Anolis sagrei: one gene and its partners. The protein of the gene in region 2 purifies or fractionates together with the protein of the main gene of each other region. This does not show direct contact. Links are inferred from orthologs where the notes say so. Each region holds a gene or a part of one and is shown on either strand. Other genes may lie near its edges.

Region 1 (7,849 bases), about 6.1 Mb from region 2:
GTTGAACAGATGAACGAACCCCAGAAGAGTGGAATTATAGAAGCTCAAAGCATCAGAAGATTGAACCCAAACCAGCAGTAACCCCTAAACTTTATTGTATCTATATATTGTCGAAGGCTTTCATGGCCGGAATCACTCAGTTCTTGTGGGTTTTTTCGGGCTATATGGCCATGTTCTAGAGGCATTTCTCCTGACGTTTCGCCTGCATCTATGGCAGGCATCCTCAGAGGGTGAGGTCTGGAGCTGGGAAAAAGGGGGTTTATATATCTGTGGATCATCAACAGTTCATCAACAGATATATAAACCCCCTTTTTCCCAGCTCCAGACCTCACCCTCTGAGGATGCCTGCCATAGATGCAGGCGAAACGTCAGGAGAAATGCCTCTAGAACATGGCCATATAGCCCGAAAAAACCCACAAGAACTTTATTGTATCTAACCCTTCAATAAACTGTATCAACTTTATGATTTTGTGTAACTTCTATCTTTTAACTATACACTGTATATATTTTCTATATACACTGTATAAGAACTGTTTAAAAAATGTACAAAATGTAGCCTAGGGAAAGCCATCCTCCATGACCCTGCTAAAATAATCCCCTAAGAATAGAAAGGTGGGACAAATCCCCTTGGCTGTTTCCCATGCCAGATAAGAATCAGATTAATTGTTTATATGTAAAGGTAGACAATCTCCCATGCCAGCCAGATTAGCTCAGAAATGCTTGTGTGATTCCCCCAAAGACTTAAACATATGTGCATTCATTAACACTTTTATTTGACAACCTAACTTTTGATTACCCAGGATTGACCCCTGATTGTTGTACCTTTGCTTCCTGAGCCCTGTATCATTGTTTGGCACAGAATTGGACAGCTGAGCTAATTAAAAGTTCATCAACATATCCCTAGTATTTTCTTCCTGGGGGAGTCCCAAAAGCCCTTTTCCTGACCAATCCCCAGCCAATATTCGTGGCATAAATCCTGTCAGCCTCTTTTTTGGCCAATCAGAGGAGGGAGCAGGAGGTTTGAATGGCTGTCAGAACTGTATAAGATATCTTGCCTTTCTCCATACCGTTATGCTTGTACATTTTGAAGCAAATTATTTACACTTGTATCCTTTTTGGCCAAATCGCAGTCAATTTCAGTGGCTTGTCTTCATCCTGTTGAGTTGTTTCTCTGCCCTGGCCCTTCTGGTTTTAGCATATGCTTGTCGAGCGTGGATCTTAGGTAAATCACTGCAGAATGAGGGTACCAGGTCAATTATACAGTCATATGGTCAGTATGTTGGGAAATTATCAACCTCCTTGTTAAGAAAGACTTCTGCAAAGTCCTGATATTTTCTTAGCAATGTGACAGGGAGTTCAGCTGGTTCTGAGTCTTGAGCAGCAGTCACCTGCTCTGGTCTGCAATGCTCCTAATAAATAACAACAACAACAACAACAACAACAACAACAACAACAACAACACTTTATTTGTACCCCGCTACCATCTCCCCAAGGGACTCGGTGCGGCTTATATGAGGCCGAGCCCAAATACAACAATACATGCAATAATAACAACAGCAATTAAAATAAAACATGGACAATAAAATAACGCAACATTAACAATAAAACCACACGATTAAAACTGTGGGAAGGCCAAATGTAAAATTAAAATTGGAAGTAGTGCTGGAACATGGGAGAAAAAGTGATGGGGCGTTTGTGGAAAACATACAGATGGGGCGTTTGTGGAGAACATAAAAAATATCTGCCACCTGGAGCAAGAGATATGGGGTTCATGTCAGATGAACCTCTTTCTTTCATTCCTTCTTTCGCTCTTTGGTTTCATCCTTCCTTCTCTCTTTCCTTTCTTCCCTCCTCCTTTCTCTACTTCTTCCTTTGTCTCCTTTCTTCCCTCCCTGTTTCCATCCTTCTTTCACTTTTTCTTTCCTTTTCTCCTTCCTTCCTTCTTTCAATACCTCTTTTTTCCCCTTCCTTCCTTCTCTCCTTCCTTCCTTCCCTTTTCCCCTCCCTCCTTTCTTCTCTCCTTTCTTCCTGTCTGTTTTCCCCCAATACCATGGCAGAGTCCCTTCTAAGTCTATTCTATGAGTCTATTTAATATAGTAATATATAGTAGTAACATTATATTATATAGTGCTGTATATAACAATAATATATATAATGTAATATATATGATATAGCAATATATATAATAGTAATATATAAAGTATTACACACACACATCACACCAACATCCATCTGTGTGAGTGTCTACACTGCCATATAATCCAGTCCTAAGTAGATAATCTGGATTTTACATGGCAGTGTGGAAGGTTTGATTTTGGGTGCATCTACACTGTAGATTTAATAAAGGAGGATGAAGCTGGTGAGGGAAGGAGAAAAAGGAAGGAAAGAAAGGGAGGAAGGGAAGGAGACATGCAGGCAGCAGCAAACATTGCAGCCGCTGCTGCTTCGGAACCCTCATTCTGTGTCCTCAGTGTGAGGGGGGTAGGGGAGGTGTGTTGTCTTCTTCCTTTTTTGAATTTAAAGGTGTTTCGTGGGATTTTTCAGTGATGATCACTCCTTGGATCATGAGGAGTTTTGTTGCCAAATGTGGGGTCATTTGGCCCTGTAGTTTTTGTTTTGTTTTTAAGGAACTCATTATGCACAGAGCATTTATATATATATAGATATAATATAATAATGTGATATAGGAATTCAAGGATGGGTTCAGATCATGACTCAATCAAATGCACAAAGAAACATCCACGTTTTCAATTCCTTGTGGTATGCGGCTAGGGAGGGTGCCAGCCTAATCTCCCTGGGGAGGGAATTCCAGAGATTTGGGGCCACCACCGAGAATGCCCCCCCCTCTCGTCCCCACCAGCCGCGTCTGAGACAGGGGTGGGGCAAGAGAAGAGCATCCCCAGAAGATCTAATCTTGTGCTATGCTAATAATATTTTATATGCGCATATGCTATTGGTCATAATATTGTAATACAATATAATATTAAGTAATTATATATTACATGTATTACTAATAATATTGTAGTGTAGTGGTATCGTACAATATAGTAATATATAATACTAATATTGTGCAATGCTAATAATATAATATACTAGCTGTCCCCTGCCACACATTGCTGGGCCCAGTCTGTTGATCTGGAAAATAAGGTAATGAGAAAGTGTTGGTTTCTAATATATATAATTCCTTTATGCTTGTGGGTAAACAGTATTTCTTGCTGTTTCTTTGTCAGTGTTGATGTGGAGAGTGTCTGGTTTGCCTACTCTGGAACATGCAACATACAATTGTCCTTCTTTAGGGGTCCCTTTCAAATCTATGATACTATATCTGTGTGTGTGTGAATCCTATCTATCTCTATCTATGGCTGGATGGCTCTTTGTCAGGAGGGCTTTGATTACATTTCCTTGTCCTGGTGAAGGGAGTTGGACTAGATGGCTTTGAGTATTTTCTGTTGGTCATGGGGATTCTGTGTGGGAAGTTTGCCCCGATTCTGTCGTTGGTAGGGTTCAGAACGCTCTTTGATTGTAGGTGAACTATGAATCCCAGTAACTACAACTCCCAAATGTCAAGGTCTATTTTCCCCAAACTCCATCTGTGTTCATATTTGGGCATATGGAATATTCGTACCAAGTTTGGTCCAGAGCCATCATTGTTTGAGTCCATGGTAGTCTCTGGATGGAGGTGAATGATAACTACCAAACTCAAGGTCAATGCTCACCAAACCCTTCTAGAGTCTTCTGTTGGTCACAGGAGTCCTGTATGCCCCGGTTGGTTCAATTCTATCATGCTATTTGATTGTAGGTGAACTATAAATCTCAGCAGCTACAACTCTCTATCTATCTATCTATCTCTATGGCTGGATGGCAGGACTTTGATTACGTTTTCTTGCCCTGATGAAGGGAGTTGGATTGGATGGCCTTTAGTATTTTCTGTTGGTCATGGGGGTTCTGTGTGGGAAGTTTGCCCCGATTCTATCGTTTGTGGGGTTCAAAATGCTCTTTGATTGTAGGTAAACTATAAATCCCAGCAACTACAACTCCCAAATGACAAAATCAATTTTTTTTAAGTGAGGGACATACATTGGGTATGTTAGGTGTCTTGTGTCCAAATTTGGTGTCAATTCGTCCAGTGGTTTTTGAGTTCTGTTAATCCCACAAACGAAAATTACATTTTTATTTATATAGAAGTAATATTACTAATAATATTGCAGTATAGTGCTATCGTACAATACAGTAATATATATTACTAATATTGAGTAATGCTAATAATAGAATATATTGTATGTACAAATAAGCCACTCTGAGTCCCCTTAAGGGTTTTCTTTTTTTGTCGTGTCAGGAGTGACTGCAAGTCGCTTCTGTTGTGAGAGAATTGGCCGTCTGCGAGGACGCCCGGATGATTTGATGTTTTTATCATCCTTGTGGGAGGCTTCTCTCATGTCCTTCCTTAAGAGTGAAAAGAGTGGAATATGAATGTCGTAAATAAATAAATAAATAAACCCAGAATATATGGCAGTGTGGACTCAGAAAACCCAGTTCAAAGCAGATATTGTGGGATTTTCTGCCTTGATATTCTGGGTTATATGGCTGTGTGGAAGATTCTTCCACATAGCCATATAACCCAGAATATTAGTGAGTGCAGGAAGGAAGCCTTTCCCAAAAAAAGACTGGAACCTGCCTCGTATCCGCCCTTACTCCTGGAAAAGGCTTCACTCTGCATGTGTGCGCATGCTCGCGCTCCGGCTTTCTATTGGCTCCTCCGCCGGCTCCTGCGGCGCGCGCCCCCGCCCCTTTCCCTCCCTCGGTGGCATCCGGAGCCCCGCCCTTCCTGCTGCCGCTGCTGCCGCTGCTGCTGCTGCTGCTCGAGCGCGGGGCGGAGGCGGGCGGCTGGGCCTTGGCTGCTGTTGCGGCTCTTCCTCCTTCTCTTCCTCCTCCCGCCGCCTCTCCTTCTTCTCCTCGAGGGTCAGAAACGAAGATGGCGGACCTGGAGGACCAGCTCTCCGACGAGGAGAAGGTGAGGGGGGCCCAGAGGAAGGGAGAGAGAGGCGGGAGGCCGAGGGAAGCCCAAGAAGGCGAGGAGCCTGAGGGAGCTTCCTGGAGAGGGCAGGCATAGGGGCCAGAGGAGGAAGAGGAAGGGGGCCCTCCTGGCGCCCTCTTGCCGCCTAGGCCTCTCGCCGCTCCTTGTACGGTCCGAGCGCTGAAAATAGGCTGGGGCCGATCTGGTGTCTGGGGGACGAGCCAGCAGCCCGCTTCCTCCTCCTCCTCTTCCTCTTCTGTTCTCCTTTTCTGCTGCTGCCTCCATTGGCGCCTCCAGCCAGCCCCTGCTTTCCTCTGGCCTGAAGTAGGCGAGAGTGTCCTGGCGGGGCAGAGGCACTCTAGGTCGCCTTTGAACTGCCAGGGCTCAATGTAGGAAGATCCTGGGAGTTCTAGTTTCACAAGGCCTCGAGCCTTCTCTGCTCAAGAGCGCCTCACTCCAAATCCCAGAACCCCATAGCATTGAGCTTTGGTAGGGAAAGTGCAGTCACACTGCACTCAATCCACAGTGCATTATTATTATTATATTTATTTATACCCGGCTTTATCTTCCCAAAGGGGACTCAGGCCCCTTCCAGAAAGGCCCTATCTCTCAGGATCTGATCCCAGGTTTTCTGTTTTTTCCATATTATCTGGCAGTGGAGACTCGTATAATACAGTTTTAAGCAGAAAACCTGGTATGAGATCCTGGGATATAGGGCCTGTCAGGAAGGGCCCTCAATATATAGATCTGGCTTCTGCAAATTTTGGCCTTCCAGGTGTTTTGGACTTCAGCACCCCAATTTCTAACAGGAATTGCCTGGTGTAGATGCATCCTGGGATTCGTAGTTTGTTGAGGCACCTATTTTCTTCCCCTAAGTGATGTAGTCACACTGCAGAATCATTACAGTTTGAGACCGCTTCAATTTCCAGGGCTCAATCTGTAATATTCTAGGATTTATCCAATGCCAGGACACCACAGCTCTCACAGGGCTTGCGAATGCCAGAGCTTGATGACATTTTTTCTCCTGTCGGGAGCAACTTGAGAAACTGCAAGTCGCTTATGGTGTGAGAGAATTAGCCATCTGCCCAGATGTGTGATGATTTACCATCCTTTTCTCATGTCCCCGCATGGGGAGCTGGAGCTGACAGGGGAAGCTCAACTTGCTCTCCCCAGATAACATTGAGTCATATCAGTTTAAAGTGGTGTCAAACTAGTATATTTTTGTCATGTGACCAAATAATAATCATAATCCAATTTATTTATATCCTGGCCCCTCCTCCTGAAGGAACTTGGGGCGGCTCACAGTGGAAACATTTTTGGAAAATGGCATTCATAACCTTTTGGAAAGCGCCTTTTGGAGAATAGCATACAACCAAATATAATTATTCAGTTGTTAGACTGAATAACCTATTATATCTGCTCTTTTAGAAAAACAGAGATTTTACCAGCTCACAAAAACTGCAGAGTTTGAGAAGTGGGTTTCAGTGCCCAAAATATATACACTCTCCCATAAAACAGCTTGTTTTATATCATGCACTCAAGAGTGAAAAATGAAGTAGACTTTGATAAAAATAACATTTGGTTTGCTCACAACCTTCATGTGTTCAGTATGCACAGGTACAAAACTTATCAGTCCCGTTTCAAATATGTTTGAGATAATTCTTTGTGTCATCCCGCCAGAGCATCTCTCTTGTAACAAAATAGCTATCAATACCTCACATAGTCAAAAGGAGAGAGAAAAAGAGCATATGGTCTGCAGCCCCTTTTACAACTTTTCATTGAAACATAAAGGAAGCTGCATACCAGAACATACATTCAGGAAACAGTAAGCAACAGAATCATAGATAAACATTATTAGAGAAGGCTTGAAGAAGGTTGTCATTTCCAACAAAAAATACAGTATACATAATAATAATCGGCCAACCAAGACTGGTTCCCTCTAACCTGCAGTCCCCTCCAGTCTTCGGGTGTGTTTTGGGCAGGGCAGCCGTGCCACTTCAGCTCTGGTGAAAGAAAAGAGAGAGAAAAAGAATAGATAAGCATTGCCCTTATCTGAAATGCTTGGGACTAAAAGTATTTAAGATTTTTTATTTCCCCTCCTGATTTTGGAATATTTACACATAATGAGGATCGGAGATGGGACCCACCTCTAAATACCACATTTATGTATATTTTCTATACGTCTTGCACACAGCATGAAGGTAATTTTATGCACAATATTTTGGATACTTTCAGGCATGAAAGTATCCACTGCTTTGAGTTGCCTGAGGGCTGAGAAAAGCGGTATATAAATAAATAAATAAATAAATTCCATGTTAAGAAAGATGACTTAGATGCCCATGTTATAATAGATTTTGGAGCATTTAACATTTCTAAATAAGGTATCCTCTGCCTGTATAGATAGCATATCAACATTTAGTGAATATCATTTGATTGCCCCTCATGTCATCATCCATGGGGTCCAAAACAATTTTTACATGGTGATGATATTTTTTTGTCTCTTAAATCTTTCCCCTCTCTTTAAGTGATGATAAACACCTCATGGATGTGTAAAAGGTTAATGAATCCTTGACAAAGAGGTTTATTTCCGGTTAATTGTTACAGAAGATGAATACATGGTATAATATATGTTCATTTTGAAGCTACATTTCAAGCTTGATCCTCTGAGGATGCATCTAATCTGTAGAATTAATGAAATTTGACACCACTTTAAGTGCCATGGCTCAATGTTATTGAATAATGGGAAGTGTAGTTTGGTGAAACTATTTTGTAGAGAACTCTAAAGACCTTGTCAAGTTATTCCATAGCATTGAACAACTAGTTAACGTGTTGTCA
Region 2 (7,879 bases):
CATGTACAATATATAAAACTACCAGGAGACGTTTGTTCAAAGTTTTATTATGCAAAGCTATCAGTATGCTGTTGACACACAGCTCTCTTTTTCCTTTTCATCTAATCCAGTCACAGAGTGGGATGACCTTGACAGGTGCTCCGAGTCAGTAATGAATTAGATAGAAGCTAATAAACTGATCCTCAGTCCAAGAAGAATGAATGCCAGACATTAAAGGAAGAGATGCTCTAGTTGTTTGTTTGTTTTTTTATGATTAGGTGTACTGCTCAAAAAGAAGGAAGAGATGACCTTTTGCATTACAACTCCCAGAAACCATCTTCTTGGCACCTTTGGACATCAAAGAAGTGGCTAACAGATGTGGCACCCTTGATTTGGTAGTACGTCTCCCATGACATCTGCTTGGCATCTTTTTTCCCCTCCTGCATTCACCAGTAAAGATATGCCTATACAGACTTTGGGTTGAATCATGTGTGCTGCTATGTAGTTGTTATTGGGTGCCTTCTAGTCATTTCCTGGCGTTAAGGCCAACTTACAAGATCATTTTCTTGGCATGATTTTTTCAGAGGAGGTTTGAGAATGTGACATGCCCAACGTTACCCAGCGGCTGAGTAGAGATTCAAACTTGAGTCTCCAGAGTTGCAGACTAATGCTCATACAACAACAGCACATTGGCTCTTGGTTATCATATATGTATATCTCCTTCTAAACCACAACAGAAATAATAACAACAACAATAACAACAAAAACTTTATAATACCCCACCACAATCTCCCAGAAGTACTCAGGGCAGATTACAGAAGCACATACAAGTGCCATAATGCATAAAAATAAAGATAAAATTACAACGCATATTAAACAATGACATCAGTAAAAACAACCTATTACAAAAAAATCCAATTTAAAAAGAAACAGTACAAATTGCCATAAAAATGAATAATACAGCATCCCAGTCGCAGCCAATTCAACCAGTGAAAATATTAGATTGTTTAGTCCTTTGATTGGCAGATGTCTTACCCATTTCCAAAGGTCTGCCTGAAGAGCCAAGTTTTCATAGCATAATGGTGTAATGGTCTGAATATTAGGCTAAATAAAACTCTGAGAACCAGCTTTGAATTCCCGTTCAGTCACAATCTCTCAGCCTCAGATGAGTAGTATTCTGTTTTGGTAAGTTTCCTCACTTTTTCCGGTTGGCTGTACGTTTCTGGAACACTTCAGTCTTCTGTAGAAATCTATAATGCTCTGCATTGCTTTCCATAGTTCTTTAGTGTTTTATGGAGATCTTCAGTGCTGTTTGTTACTCTGGAAGTACTGTGGCAGACCTGAAACCAAGTGAAGTAACTGAGGAATTAGGACCACCAATGTAACTATTTCACACCCTTTGACAACCAGTTCTGACAAAACTAAGATCTCTATTCAAGCAGCAAGAAAAACTGCTGACAATGTAGACTGTCTGTTCTCATACATAGTACGTCCTTTGTTCTCAGAATGAAGGAAAACTTCCCATTAAAATTTCCGTATTAGTTGTACAGTTGCCTCTCTTGTAGTAGAAAAAATCAGAAGACATGGTATGAATTAAAAGCTTCTGTTACCTATGTCATAATTCAATGTTGTTGTGTTTTTTTTAAAAAAACTTAAACAGAATTTAATTTATTAATTACTTGGATCCAGGCTATATGAAGAATTCTTCCCACATAGTGATGAGAATGGGTTTGTTTTGTTGTTATTTTTTGTTTGTCTGTTTGTTTTGAGGAACAATTTTTTCAATGTTGCCACTCTCACATAAGCATTTGGTAAGGATTTAAAGGGCTTCCTCTGTGGTTGCTCTGATGCTATATAGAGGGCTTTCTGGGTGGCTGTTTCAAGGTCTTGGAGTTCCTTCCTGCAGGAAACTAAGCCAACCTCTGCTCTGAGTGCATCTGCATTGCAGAATTAATGTAGTTTGACACCACTTTAATGGCCACAACAACAACTTTATTTTTGTACCCCGCCTCCATCTCCCCAAAGGAACTCGGGCCACCTTACATAGCAGCAAGCCCGAGATTCAGTGAGGCTGTTAAAGGCTCTTTCCTAAACTACAAAGCCCAGAATTCTGCATGAGGTAGCAACTGGATTTTAAAAAAGGACTCTAGTTGAACAATTGATGAGAACACAAGGTGCAGTTGCTTCTACCCACGAACATCAAGTTTCCTATCTATATACTGAAAATAAATAAAAACAATATCTAAAAAGGTTTTTACTGTATTTTATTATTAATATCAAGTTAATGCAGAGTGTATGGTATAGTTAGTATGAGGTATAGCATTAGGTAAGCCTGTTTTAATAGTAACTCTCAAGCAACCAGAAATGACACTTGTCTACCAATCCCCATGGGTACTGGTTAACAGGCCCCTTCTGCACTGCTATATAATCCAGATTATCAGAGTAGATAATCCGCATCTGCTTTGAACTGGAATATATGAGTATACACTACCATATACTCCAGATCAAAGCAGAAAATCTGTATTTTATATATGGCAGTGTAGACTGGACCCGAGAGTCTTATCTTATTGTAATATTCCTGCTTCTTGGCAGGGGGTTGGACTGGATGGCCCATGAGGTCTCTTCCAAATCTTTGATTCTATGATTCTATTCTATGATTCTATGACTGATTCAAACCCTATTTGTTTCCACTGTGAATTGTTTGAGCACTCCAATGCAACATCCCAACCATCCTTTGATACCAGTAATTACTGTGTATCTCTCAAGGATACTATTGTATATCACATTTTTAAAACACCACTGTAGGCTGATTGATACACATATCCAATCAAAGACACATCTTGCAAGCATTATGCAATTTGTGGAGGAGCAACATAATTCTCACAATCGCATGTGGCTCATAACCAGCTTTAACAAATTACGACCTGCCTTGGCAAGACCATAATTTTGCTAATCACTATGGATTAAACGGGAAATGAGCTTCTTTGGCACAAGATAAAGTGATTCCTTCTATATTTTTTTATTTAAAAATACATTTAATTAAAATCTTCGCACCTCACATATAAAAAGTGATGTTGCTTTTATGGGACTCCTCTACTTTAAAAAGTTGCTGACACTTTTATTTTTATCACTAGCGGAGAAGACTCAACAAACCCAAACAGTACATTTTAAAAACACCAGTATAGGTGTTTTTTAAACACTTCCACACAGCTGAATAAAATCCCAAATTATATGCTTTGCGCTGGAATATATGGCACTGTGGACTATGCTAACCCCAATTCAGAGCAGATATTTTGGGATATAGGGCTGCGTGGAAGGCTCCTTGGTGGGATTTATTTTGAAGTGAACAGAAAACTTGGTCCAGCTTATAAAAAAACCAGTCATATTTAGAAATTACTCCCATTGAAATCAAGGAACCGTAATCCTATAATGTCTTCAGGGTAAAATAAGATGCATTAGGTTCAATGAGGCCCCTTCTACACTGCCATATAAAATCCAGGGCCCTTGCACACAGCCCTATATCCCAGAAAAATCCCACATTATCAGAGTGTGGACTCATAATCCACTTCAAAGCAGATATTGTGGGATTTCCTGTCTTGATATTCTCCAATATAGGGCTGTGTGGAAGGGCCCCCAGATTATCTGCTTTGAAATGTATTATATGGCAGTGTAGACTCATATAATCTAGTTCAAAACAGATAATCCCACATTATCTAAGTGTGGACTCAGATAATCTAGTTCAAAGCAGATATTGTGTGATTTTCTGCCTTGATATTCTGGGAAATAGGGCTGTGTGGAAGGCCCTGGGTTATCTGAGTCCACACTGCCATATATTCCACTTGAAAACAGAAAATGTGGGATTTTATTTAGCTGTGTGGAAGGGGCTTTTGTCAACTGCACTGGCTCACTGCGATGGAGTGACGGGAGTTGTAGTTTCTGCAAGGTCATCTAGGCCAAATAAATAACTCACCAAACTACAAATCCCAGCATCCTGTAGCATTGAGCCATGGCAGTGTCAAACTGCCATTGTTCTGCAATAGGGATATTCAAGAAACCAAAACAAAAACCACCCAAAAGTGTCTAAGGCCCCTTCTACACTGACATATAAAAATCCAGATTATCTGTTTTGAGGATCTGGATTTTATGGCAGTTTAGATCCAGCCTTTGACCCCTTCTACACTGCCATATAATCCAGATTATCAAAACAGACAATCTGCAGTGGATTATATGAGTCTACGATGCCACATAATTCAGATTAGCAAAACAGATAATCCACATTATCTGCTTTGAAGTGGATTATATGAGTCTACGATGCCATATAATCCAGATTATCAAAACAGACAATCCGCATTATCTGTTTTGAAGTGGATTATATGAGTCTACGATGCCATATAATTCAGATTAACAAAACAGATAATCCGCATTATCTGCTTTGAACTGGATTATATGAGTCTATGCTGCCATATAAAATCCAGATTATCTGCTTTGAACTGGATTATGTGACGGTTTAGACACATATAATCCACTTCAAAACAGATAATGTGGATTATCTGTTTTGAGGATCTGGATTTTATGGCAGTTTAGATTTAGCCTTGATATTCTGGGATATAGGGCTGTGTGGAAGGGCCCAAAGTGGTGTCAGGCTCCATTCATTCTCCTGTGCGGATGTATAATCCCGGCTCAGAGCCGCCCGGGCCGGAAGAAGCAAAAGGCAAGCGAATCGAGGCGATGATTGGCAGCCGCAAGTCACGTGATGGTCCCGGGCCGTTCTGAGTACCCCCCCCCCCCGCCCTTCTGCCGTTCCTTACCTTGTCCCTCCTCCCCCCGAAGTTGCGAGTCCCAGAGTCGGCGGCCCTTCAGCGTCATGTCTCACCAAACCGGCATCCAAGGTACCTCTCGGGTGGGTCTCCGGGTCCCCCTCCCTCCGCAATTTGCTCCAGGCTCTTCCTTCTCTCTGCCCTCCCTCCCCCCGGGCCGCTTCCCCATTGGATCCCCCCGCCTCCCTTTCATTCTCTCTCCCTTTCTTTCCGAAGCCGGCCCGACATGGACCAAACCATTGTCTGGCGCGGGGGGGGGGGGGGGAGTAGGAGGAGTGGGAAAACAAACGCTTAGTTAGACCGAACTTCTAAAACTCGCCCCCTCTCTCATATTTAATTCTTTTCGATTGTATTTCCTCCGCATAGAACCCTTGAGAGGGTGCTTCTGAGCATGTACAGAGTGCTTTCCGCAGTTTAGTAACTATAGGGCGCTCTTAGAGTTAGCCACAACTTTTTAAAGCCTGGAGAGATAACGTGGGGGGCCCTCTATGGGTGCATCCAGATGGGGGAATGAATGCGGTTTGACACTTTCCAGGCTCAAAGCTATAGAAGCCTGGGAAGTGAAGTTTAGAGTGCTTGGACTCTTTGAAAACTGCACCTCCCAGCATGATGTCCCAAAAGGTTCCTATATATATATAGGAAACATTAAGTCCTATTATGTTTTAGTCTATACCTTTTTAATATATTCATGTATTTTTAAACTTTGAGACTGTTTGGTAAATATTTTGTCATGAATGCTTTGTGAATAAAGGTGTATTTAGATACAATTTCCCTGTGTATGGTGACTTTTTAAAGGATACACTATACATCCATGCTACAGTGTAGACCAGGCATGGGCAAACTTGGCCCCTCCAGGTGTTTGAACTACAACTTCCAACATTCCTAAAAGCCTCAGGCCTTTTCCTCAGCAGCTTTTTAGTGCATCCTTAAAAAGTCACCATACATAGGGAAGTTGTACCTAAATGCACCTTTATTTACAAAGCATTCATGGCAAAATATTTACAAAACTGTCTCAAAGTTTACAAATATATACATATATTAAAAAGGTATAGACTTAAGCAGCTGAGAAGGAGAAGGAAGGGGCCTGAGGCTGTTAGGAATTTTGAGAGTTGTAGTCCAAACCCCTGGAGGGCCCAAGTTTGCCCATGCCTGGTGTAGATAGTGCTCCCCCCCACACACACACACACATTTTCTCTCTTAAGGAAAAGTTATTGAGAATTCTGAAGGCACTGGATCATGTCTGGTTTTGGAAGCTAAGTGGTGTCAACTCTGGTTAGAATGTGGATGGGGAGCCGCCAAGAAAAAGCAGGGGCTGTGAGCTGTATTTCAGAGGAAAGAGCTGGCTAAGCCACTGTTGAGAATTAATTGACCATGACATGCATGTTGATGTGCGACACAAATGCACACACAACTCCCATATTCACAGCTTATGCAAAACACTGTCTCTTCCTGCTGATCTGAGGATTGATTGAGGTCCAGAGTCCTGGCAGTGGAATTTGCACCCAAACACGGCTTTCCTTCAAAGGCCGTACGTTAGAAGTGACTTGATGGTACACAACAGCAAAAAAAAAGTACACACCCAGAGTTTGCATGGGCAAACTTTGGCCCTCCAAGTGTTTTGGACTTCAGCTCCCACAATTCATAACAGCTGGTAGGAATTTGCACCCAAACCCGGCTTTCCTTCAAAGGCCATAAGTCAGAAATGACTTGGTGATACACAACAACAAACAAATACAGTACAGACAAAGAGAGTGTATCTACACTACGCATGGGCAAACTTCAGTCCTCCAGGTGTTTTGGACTTCAGCTCCCACAATTTCTAACAGCTGGTAGGAATTTGCACCCAAATCTGGCCTTTTTTCAAAGGTCATAAGTCAGAATGACTTGATGGCACACAAGAACAAACAAATACAGTACACAAATAGAGTGCATGTACACTAGGCATGGGCAAACTTCGGCCCTCCGGGTGTTTTGAACTTCAGCTCCCACAATTCCTATCAGCCAAAACACCTGGAGGGCCAAAATTTGTCCATGCCCGATCGACACTGTGGAATGAGTGCAGCTCAACCCCACTTTGACTGCTACGGATCAGTATTGTGCAATACTGTGAAATCATTGGAGTCGTAGCTTCATTATGTCTTTGAGCTTTATCTGCCAAAGAGTGCTGGTGCCTCACCAAACTATAGCTGCATCTGCACTTTAGAATCAGTGCAATATGATACCACTTTAACTACCATGGTTGAATGCAATGAAATCCTAGAAGGCACCAGCACTCTTTGACAGAGAAGGTTAAAGGTCTTGTAAAACTACAATTCCACTGCTTCCTTAGCACTGAGCCTTGGTACTTCAAGTGGGGTCAAACTGCGTTAATTCTATAGTGAAGATGCAACCTTCACCTGCCATGATTCACCTGTGAGTCACAGCTGTGGTGTCAAACTGCATTCATTCTACAGTACAGATGCCTCCCAAGCCTTACTTTTGTTGCATTCCTTACCCTATATGGGGACTGAGCCACTGGAACCTCCTCTTCCTCCTTTGTTTGGATGGGAAGGATAGCCCATTATGGGATTTACATCTTTGTGAGAAGTAAGGGCCTAAATACACTCAAGGCACCTTCTAGGAAGCTAAGCAGGTCCAACTCTGGTTAGTTTTTGAATGGGAGACTGCAAATGAATACCACTACAGGTGCTGTAAGTTATACAACATTACAGAAGACTCATGCTATTCTGTGCATGCTGGCCTGACATAAGTCGCTCTTTGTTCAGAAGGCTTTATTGGTAGTTCTTTAACATTTATCTACCTTTGGTCTTTATAAAAAGAGCCTAAATACCCTAAAAGGTACCAGATCCTATCTGATCTTGGAAACTAAGCAGGTCCAGCCTTGGTTAGTCCTTGGATGGGAGACCAGTAATAAATACCAGGTGCTGTAGGTTATATTTCTGAACAAGGAAACTATCCAAGCCATCTCTGAATATTCCTTGCATAAGAAAACCATATAAAATTCTGCAGAAGGGACATAATATGTGTCCAAATAGATACACAACCTGTACTTTTGGTCACTCAGAGGTTCATATAATTCAATC
Region 3 (7,612 bases), on a different chromosome or scaffold from region 2:
CTGCTGCCTGCCCTCGTCCTGCATCCCTCATTTCCTCCACCTCATCCTGTCCTGAAAGAGAGAGATTGAGAGAGAGTCAGACAGACAGAGAGCATAGTGGGCCCAGACCCCTCACTTGACAATCATTCCCACTGGGGATGCAATACTTATGGTTCCCTTTCAGTACTTTAGAAAGATTCCATTCCATGGATTTAGACCATTGCCCACCTTTCTTTCTTTTTTCTTTCCTTTTTAAAACATAGAGTTCCTTTCTGCATGAGCGCTCACTGACGGGTTAGGATCTCTTCTCCTGCTGGGAAGCCATTTTTTTGGTGAAATGGACTTGCCTTACCACTATCATTCTTGTGCCAGCTACAACCAAAGAAGGGGATGATACTCCCTAGCTGAACAACCTCAGCTATTATCATTGTTGTGAAGATACCTGGCCTTCCCTAGTTTTCATTCTCCTCAGTGTGTGTGAATGCTTGCTGTGAGGTCCTTGGTGACAATGGTTTTTTTTTTCTCTCTCCAAAGTCTGTCGGATTATGTCTTGTTCTCTTTTCTCCCTATTTCTTTTGCAATGCACTTATCCACTTTTTCCTGCCAAAAAAAGCATTGCAAAATATGCCTGTGATCAAGAATGGATCAATGTTGTGCCAGTCTATTTTGCCTTTTGCTCATATTGCCACACTTAGCATCAGGAGTCCACTCCAGACATATTACAGTAACAAAATGGTTTTTCCCAAGCTGAAACATGGGTTTCTCTCAAAACTTCCGATTTGGTAATATAATGTTTTCAAATTAAGATAACCCTGATTCCAGGGGGAAAGTAGCTGTTGCTAGGATAAAATATTGAGCCATATGTTGTGACAGGCCAAGTAAAATGATGCTAAAATGCCACAGATAATAAGTACCAGCTTCATTGGCCAAAATTGTTTCTTCCTCACAATTACATGGAGATGCAATTCACTCCTCGGCTCACAGTGTTTATTTTCCAGTAGCTCACAACTTCTGGGCCAGAACTGAACCCAAAGCATCCTTACCAAAGAGTCATTATTTCTGTTTTGATCAAAGTGTGCTTCCCAGAACCGTCCTGTCCGGCTGGGAGACTGTAATTCTTTGTCGCCACAATGGTGACTTCCTTCAGTGCCTAATAAAATAAATCTTTTAATTCTTTATCACCTTTGTGCCATATGATCATTGCTGAGATTACACAGGGTGTTGTATGGGGAGACTAGATTTGGATAAATCAAGTTCAAACTACAGGTGAGGCCATGATGCGGGGAACTTTGAAGCAAAGCTGGTTCTGTTACCTTCTTCCCAATCAGAACCCTTGTGTCATGCTTAGATGGGAAAATCAAATCGGTGTTCTCATGGAAATGCCACATCCATGTCTCCATGCCTCGGTATTCTTGTCTTTGTTATTGGCACAGTTGAAAAAGAGGACAATACTGGTGTTTCAGTTGAGCACATGCTGGGAGGTAATGGTGCAGGACATCAAAGTGGAATGGCCTCGCTGGACAGCAAACATCCAGAACATCTTTTTGTTACAAGTGGCCAGGAGTTCACTTATCTTGCTCTTGGCCACATTTAATGAAAAGCCAGCTGTCTCCTGGAATATGTTCAGCATAAATAAGTAAAGAGCTTTAGTGCAATGATCATTCATAAGGTACAGAAGAGGAGGGCTACATCAAGATTTAATGGAGGAAGGTATTAGTGCATTGGCAGTGCATTGCATTGGTCAAAGTTCTAAAAAAATTGCACCTACTAAGGCAGCATACAGAGAGTGGTTTAGTGGGTCGATTATGACTCTCTAGACCAATGTTTGAAACCCAGATGAGCCACTGGATGGCCTTTGGCAGATTGCATTCTCTTAGCCTCAGAGGAAGGCAAAGGCAAAACCTCTGAACGAATTTTGCTTAAAAAAAACCCCAAACAAACCCAGTGAATAAGTTTGCCTTAGAGTTGCCGTATGTTAGAAACAAAAGCACATGTGCTGGTATACATTTGCATCAAATTTCATAGTGATGGAAAGTGGCACAAATTCAGACATGCTATTTTCTTGTCGAAAATTTCCCTCCCCACATCCCCACCCAATTCTGAATTCAGGCACTGTTTCCTCTTCCTATATGTATTTTTTTAAATGAATCCTTGCTGTGCAACTTAGGGAAGTCTTTCCTGTGCTTCCTTCTTTTCAGACCTTGCTCTTAATATAAGTCCTGTGTGGTTGCCTATGTTTTACTGAACTCTCAGTGGCTTATTTCTGTGGCAGTCTAACTTCTGCTTTAGTGGTAATTTCTGATCCTGTATTTGGTGAGTGATACTTCCTTGGTGTTTGCAGCTTCTTGCTATTGTGAACTAGTTTATGCTGCCTTTGATTTGCTGAGCATGGGACATAATGTTAAAGTGGAGGTTGCTTCATCACAGAATCTTTTTGAGCACTTGATGCTCCATCTTGGGAGAGTTCTGCCCCCTCCGCCGAGGCCCATTGCAAGGATGCCATGTACCTGTTTAAGTTATGGAAGTGGGTGGGGTTTTTTTAATTTCCCCAAGCAGCCAAAGTATCATAACATCCACATAGTAGATCAATTCTTGAGGGACATAATCAAAAGGGAAATAATTAGTTGATAATCTATAAGCAGATGGGAATCCCAGCCAGACTCCATTCATAAATTACAGTAGGGTGCATCAGTACTAAAAATAAAATACTAGGGTTGCAGAGCTGGCAAATGTTACCTGGCGGACTGCAATCCAGAGGAGCTCAGCCACAAGCTTTGCTGTATGGAGGACTTGTCATTGAAATTAAAGTAATAGTCTCAAATTATTATTTGAAATCTTGAATACTTTTGAAGTTATATGCCATTTTTAGATCTCTGCCCATTGTGTTTGGCATGTATCTAATAGTCAATCTTTGAAGAGCCAGGTGTCCGAGAAAAGAAATGCAGTGCTAAGGGAGAACCATGTAAACACTCTCCCACTTGGCAGATGTTGGCACCTACTTCACAAGGTGCCTTGAGAATCCAGCTGCTGCCCACACAGTATGGGGGCGAGCCTGTGCCTAACTTCAAGGTCTTCTGTGAAAGAGACTCTGGGAAGTAAGGTCTGTTGCTGTTCTGTGCCTTCATGTTGTTTCTGACTTACGGCAACCTTATCCCAGGGTTTTCTGGGGCTGAATGTGTGTCACTCAACCAAGGCCACACAGTGGGTTTCTATGGCTGAGCAAAGAATCAAACTCTGGTCACCAGAGTCACCGTGCTCAAACCAGTGCACCATGTGTAGGAGTCTGAAATCCTCCCTTGTTCCTAACTGGACATTGAGGAAGGCTGGAACAAGTCATAATGGCCTTATTCCAAACAGGATTTTAGGTTATACAGTGATGCCAGCCAGGCTGATGGGTCTAAGAGCAGGGAGAGCAATGATTAACAAGATTACAGTGTACTTCTGTATGTACTACATAGTTTTGATCATTCAAAGCTAGGCCCTAATTGCTCTGTTGCAACTATCAAGTGTGCCATTGGCACAACAGGGATGGCTAGTAGGTAGCTTGACACATCACACACTAAACTTAAAACTAAACCAGCAGTGTCAGAAGATACAAGACAAATTCTGAATAGGTTCTGCAACTTCTATGTGTGGAAAGTGATAGACCTTCTTGCAGCTATTTCAGTGGTTCCCAGCCTATGGTCTGTGGACCACCAGTGGTCCACAAGAGCAAAAATATGGTCCATGGCCTCACCATTACTACACTGCTGCCTCAAAACCATGTAGCAATGAGAGCGATGAGGATGTTGGGAGGGGAGAGGCCGACTACACATGAAAGATTACTGCTACCACATCAGCTCTAGATTATTAAATATGGTTTTCTGTGGGCAAGCAGATGGTGACTACTGGATGGCATCTGTTCTGTATCAGAAACTAGAGCTGGTGTGGTCTATCCAATGCAGTTTTCTGAATTGGCACTCCAAACAACCAAACAATCTAAAGTTGACCAAAAACTGATTCGTAACCCGTTTGGTACTAATCTTGGAGAGTGGTCCATGGTCAAAGTGGTCCCTGGTCAAAAATAGGTTGGAAACCACTGACCTATTGGGATTGATGATGTGAAGTAACTGTTCCTTATCAGGAAGGATGCCGAGGTCCCCCTGAGAGCTTTGAGATGGGATGCGGGAGGGAGGGGCGGGGGGGTGGGTGCTTGGATGGTGTGTCCCTGCCAGGCAGAATGGGGTTGGACTGGATGGCCGTTGGGGCCTCTTCTAAGTGTATGATTCTCGGTGCTGGCATTCGCCTGGGCGTCTTGGTTGCTCTGAACATTTCAACCAGGAGACACAATGTTGTGGCCTCTACAGAAGACGCTGACAGTTCTGCTCCGCCAAGTGGCTGAAGTGATGCGAGGCAAGATGGCTGATGGTCCCCATAGGCCCCCACATGTGGACAGAGGAGGAGGAGGAGGCGGTGAGAGGGGGAAAGAATTAGGGTGGGAGGGGGAGTATTGTTGGGTCGGCGCTAGGACCCGACGCGCTGGCAGGCGGAGCCTCCTCTCGCCTCCTCGCTCGCTCACTCGCTCGCGCGCGCGCCCGCTTGCCTGCCCGCCGTTCTTGCTGCTGCTGCTGCTGCTGCATTGCCTCGGAGGCGAGCGGCAGAGGCGGCCTTTCTCCGCCCGAGCGCCTTGCCTTGCCTTGCCTTGCCTTGCCTTGCCGAGCAGCTCAAGCAGCCGCAGCATCATCCACCCCCCTTCAGCCTGGCCGGCGGCATGGCGGGCATCAGCTTCAGCGCCAACCGCCTGGAGCTGCTGGCCTCGTACCAGGAGGTGATCGGGGAGGACAGCCCCACCGACTGGTAAGGCGGGGCCCCCTTCCTCCCCCCCCCCCGGGGTCGGTGTGAGCATTGGGGGAAAGTAAGGACGGGGAGGGGGGGGGAAGTGGGTGCCCCCATCCCTTTGTCCCCGGGGCGGAGGGGAGGGGGCGGTGTCCGCGCCGCTTTGTGCCGGGGGGCGTGGGCGGCGCCTGCCTTGCCTGGGAACCGCAGCCCTTCTTCCCAGGCAAGCCCCCACCCTCCAATGCACAGGGAGGGGGCACCCTGCGCCTCCCACGAGCGCGATGCCCCAAACCGGGGAGGGAGGGAAGGAGGGGGGAGCCATGATCAGAGCCCAAAATGGTGCATTGGCCAGACAACTGGGTCGGGGCCTCGGGTGGGTGGGCGGGTAGGCTTGGAAGGGGAGGGGGCTCCTGAGAAGCCGCAGAGAGGCGCGCGGAATGGACAGCGTCACCCGAACCCCTCTTTTGCCTTTGGGGCAGCCCGTCATCCGCCCCCTTCCCCGGACCCAGGCGCGAGCACGGGCGCGCGCTCCCACTCGTGACCCCCTCCCCAACCCCCCTCCCTGCCTCCCCTGCGCCTCCTCCCTCCCTCTCTGCCTCCTTGGGCCGGGATGCGGCGGCGGCGGCGGCGGTGGCAGTGGGGGCGGGTCCCCTCCGTGCCTTCCACCTGCTCCTCGCTCCCCATCGCCTGCTTGGCCCCGGTGTCTTTGTATGCAGACTCGAGACAAAGACCCATCTCTGCCGTGAACCCCCTCTTTCCCCAATTCTCCCTATATTTTTTGGGGGGGAGATGAAAGTTATCTGATGGAGACGCGCCACACAAAGGAAGGTGGGGCCGGTTGAGGAAGGAGGCGGGGGTCTGGAGGCTGGAGGGGAGGGGCTGGAGGAGGAGGAGGAGGAGGAGGAGGAGGAGGGCTTCGAGGAGCGAGGAAGGAAGGAAGGAAGGAAGGAAGGAAGGAAGGAAGGAAGGAAGGAAGGAAGGAAGCAAGAAGGAGGGAGGGAGGGGTCTGCCGTCTGCGAGAGGAGCCGAGGAGGGGGCACAGGCAGCCCCCCCCCCGGTCAGAGAGAGGGGCAAGGCCCTTCAGTGCCGCATCCTCTCCGTGTCTTTCCCCTTTCTCTTTGGGGGTGAGCTGATGGGGCCAAGACCCGGTTCCCTTTGGCAGCCCTCCTCTGAGCCTGGGCTTCGCACAGCAACGCCTTCAGATGTGCCAAGCTGAGCTGTTCTTTCTCATCTGGGCCTTGTGTCTGCCTGGAGAAGCCTCCGTTTGAAGGAAGGAGAGATGAAAGGGGGAGCGCCTCCTGCAAAGCCTCCAAAACAATAGGCATGTGCCCCATTTCCAGAGGCAGGCAGGCAGGGAAGGGGGGCTGGTGCTCCTGAGGAGGCCTGCCTGTGCCTCTTGCCCATTCTTGTCTGGCACCCCTTGAGCCAGGACTGTTCTGGGAATCTTCCCCTGTTCGCTTTCTTCCTTTGTCTGGCAAGGCTTGGAGACTTCCTGGGAAATGATTACATGGCCTTTGCAGCTATGGCTCCGACACGTGCCTTCGCTGCAAAGATCTTCATCATTCCCCATTAAGCAGTTCTGTGCGCGAACCTTTTGTGAGAAGAAGTATCCGATGCAGAGCTGCTAGCAGGACCTCCTTGGCCAGAAAATCTACGTATCTTTTCTTCAAGCAGGTGTCCATTATGCAACAGAGATTCTTTGCCCTCTTATTCCTAGACCCATGTCCTCTGCTAGACAGCGGTGGTGACACGGGTACCTCTCTAACTTGACAGCACCGTGACAGTGCTTGGACTGCCATGATTGTAGGGAATCCTGGGATTTGTAGTTTGGAGAGGCACTAGAGCTCCCTGCCAGAGGATTCTAAATGCCCAATGAAACTACACATCTCAAGATGCCATCAGATTGTCTCTTGGCACCTGAACTGGTATCAAATTGTGTTGCGTGAAAGAGATCTAAATCACTGTCTTTCAGCTTTAGTGTCTTCCATGTGTAAGGAATAATAGAAAACACTTTGTCTTCATGTGTTACATTTATGACTGACAACCATTGCATCTTGTACCAGGTTCTGGGATGCGTCACTGAACTTGATTCTTATTGGGTTGCTGTGAGTTTTTGGGTTGTATGGCTGTGTTCCAGGTCTCTGAACAAACCTTTGAGGATGCCTGCCATAGATGCAGGTGAAACATCAGGAGAGAATGCTACTGGAACATGGCCATACAGCTCAAAATACTCACAGCAACCCGGTGATTCTGATCATGAAAACCTTTGACAACACATTGATTATGATTCTTCAAAACATCCATGATCAGTGCTTTCTTTCAGACCAATTCCACAATGTTAGGTTTTTTAAAAAACCTTTTTGAAAAGAGAGAGACGGAGTACTGACTCAGAATGTAAACGCAGAGATGATTGTGATTAAGGGTTTCGTTTACCTTGAATCACTTCTCTTCACTCCCTCAGTCTTCACTGACATGGGCAGGGTGCTTTCTCTCTTGCTCCTTGTTCCCTCCTCCTATCCCCTTCCCTCTCTCTCCAAATAGTTTCTTCAGCCTCCTGAGCCTCTTCATCTTAGCCTACCACACCCTGCCCTTCGTGCTGCTTCTCTCCGCCTGCCAAGAATGCTGCTCCCTGGACCACTGTTGTGGTTTCCTCTTTTCACTCAGGTCGCAGGAAGCTCTCACATCTCCATAAGCCAAAATCCATGCAAAAGAACTACACAGCCCTGGTTTGCTCCAGTATAAGGGCCATTCCTGTAGTTCTTCCTTCCACTGAGCTGTTGAAGGCTTGTGGCGTCACATATGAAGGCCAAAGGGTTTT

Evidence for each region.
Region 1: the proteins of TWF1 (region 2) and CAPZA2 purify together in Homo sapiens (affinity purification with mass spectrometry; 3 studies listed by BioGRID and IntAct, with this or other methods). This does not show direct contact. The link is inferred for Anolis sagrei from reciprocal best matches to the Homo sapiens genes TWF1 and CAPZA2.
Region 3: the proteins of TWF1 (region 2) and DBN1 purify together in Homo sapiens (affinity purification with mass spectrometry; 3 studies listed by BioGRID and IntAct, with this or other methods). This does not show direct contact. The link is inferred for Anolis sagrei from reciprocal best matches to the Homo sapiens genes TWF1 and DBN1.

What each region holds. Positions count from the first base shown.
Region 1 is NC_090025.1:131,056,573-131,064,421, reverse strand, and holds the start of CAPZA2 (F-actin-capping protein subunit alpha-2), read left to right. Parts: upstream 1-4,819; 5' UTR 4,820-4,972; coding exon 4,973-5,011; intron 5,012-7,849. UniProt on the Homo sapiens protein: F-actin-capping proteins bind in a Ca(2+)-independent manner to the fast growing ends of actin filaments (barbed end) thereby blocking the exchange of subunits at these ends.
Region 2 is NC_090025.1:137,173,046-137,180,924, reverse strand, and holds the start of TWF1 (twinfilin-1), read left to right. Parts: upstream 1-4,784; 5' UTR 4,785-4,843; coding exon 4,844-4,868; exon of another isoform or gene 4,869-4,873; intron 4,874-7,879. UniProt on the Homo sapiens protein: Actin-binding protein involved in motile and morphological processes. Inhibits actin polymerization, likely by sequestering G-actin. By capping the barbed ends of filaments, it also regulates motility.
Region 3 is NC_090022.1:76,843,664-76,851,275, reverse strand, and holds the start of DBN1 (drebrin), read left to right. Parts: upstream 1-4,546; 5' UTR 4,547-4,729; coding exon 4,730-4,815; intron 4,816-7,612. UniProt on the Homo sapiens protein: Actin cytoskeleton-organizing protein that plays a role in the formation of cell projections. Required for actin polymerization at immunological synapses (IS) and for the recruitment of the chemokine receptor CXCR4 to IS.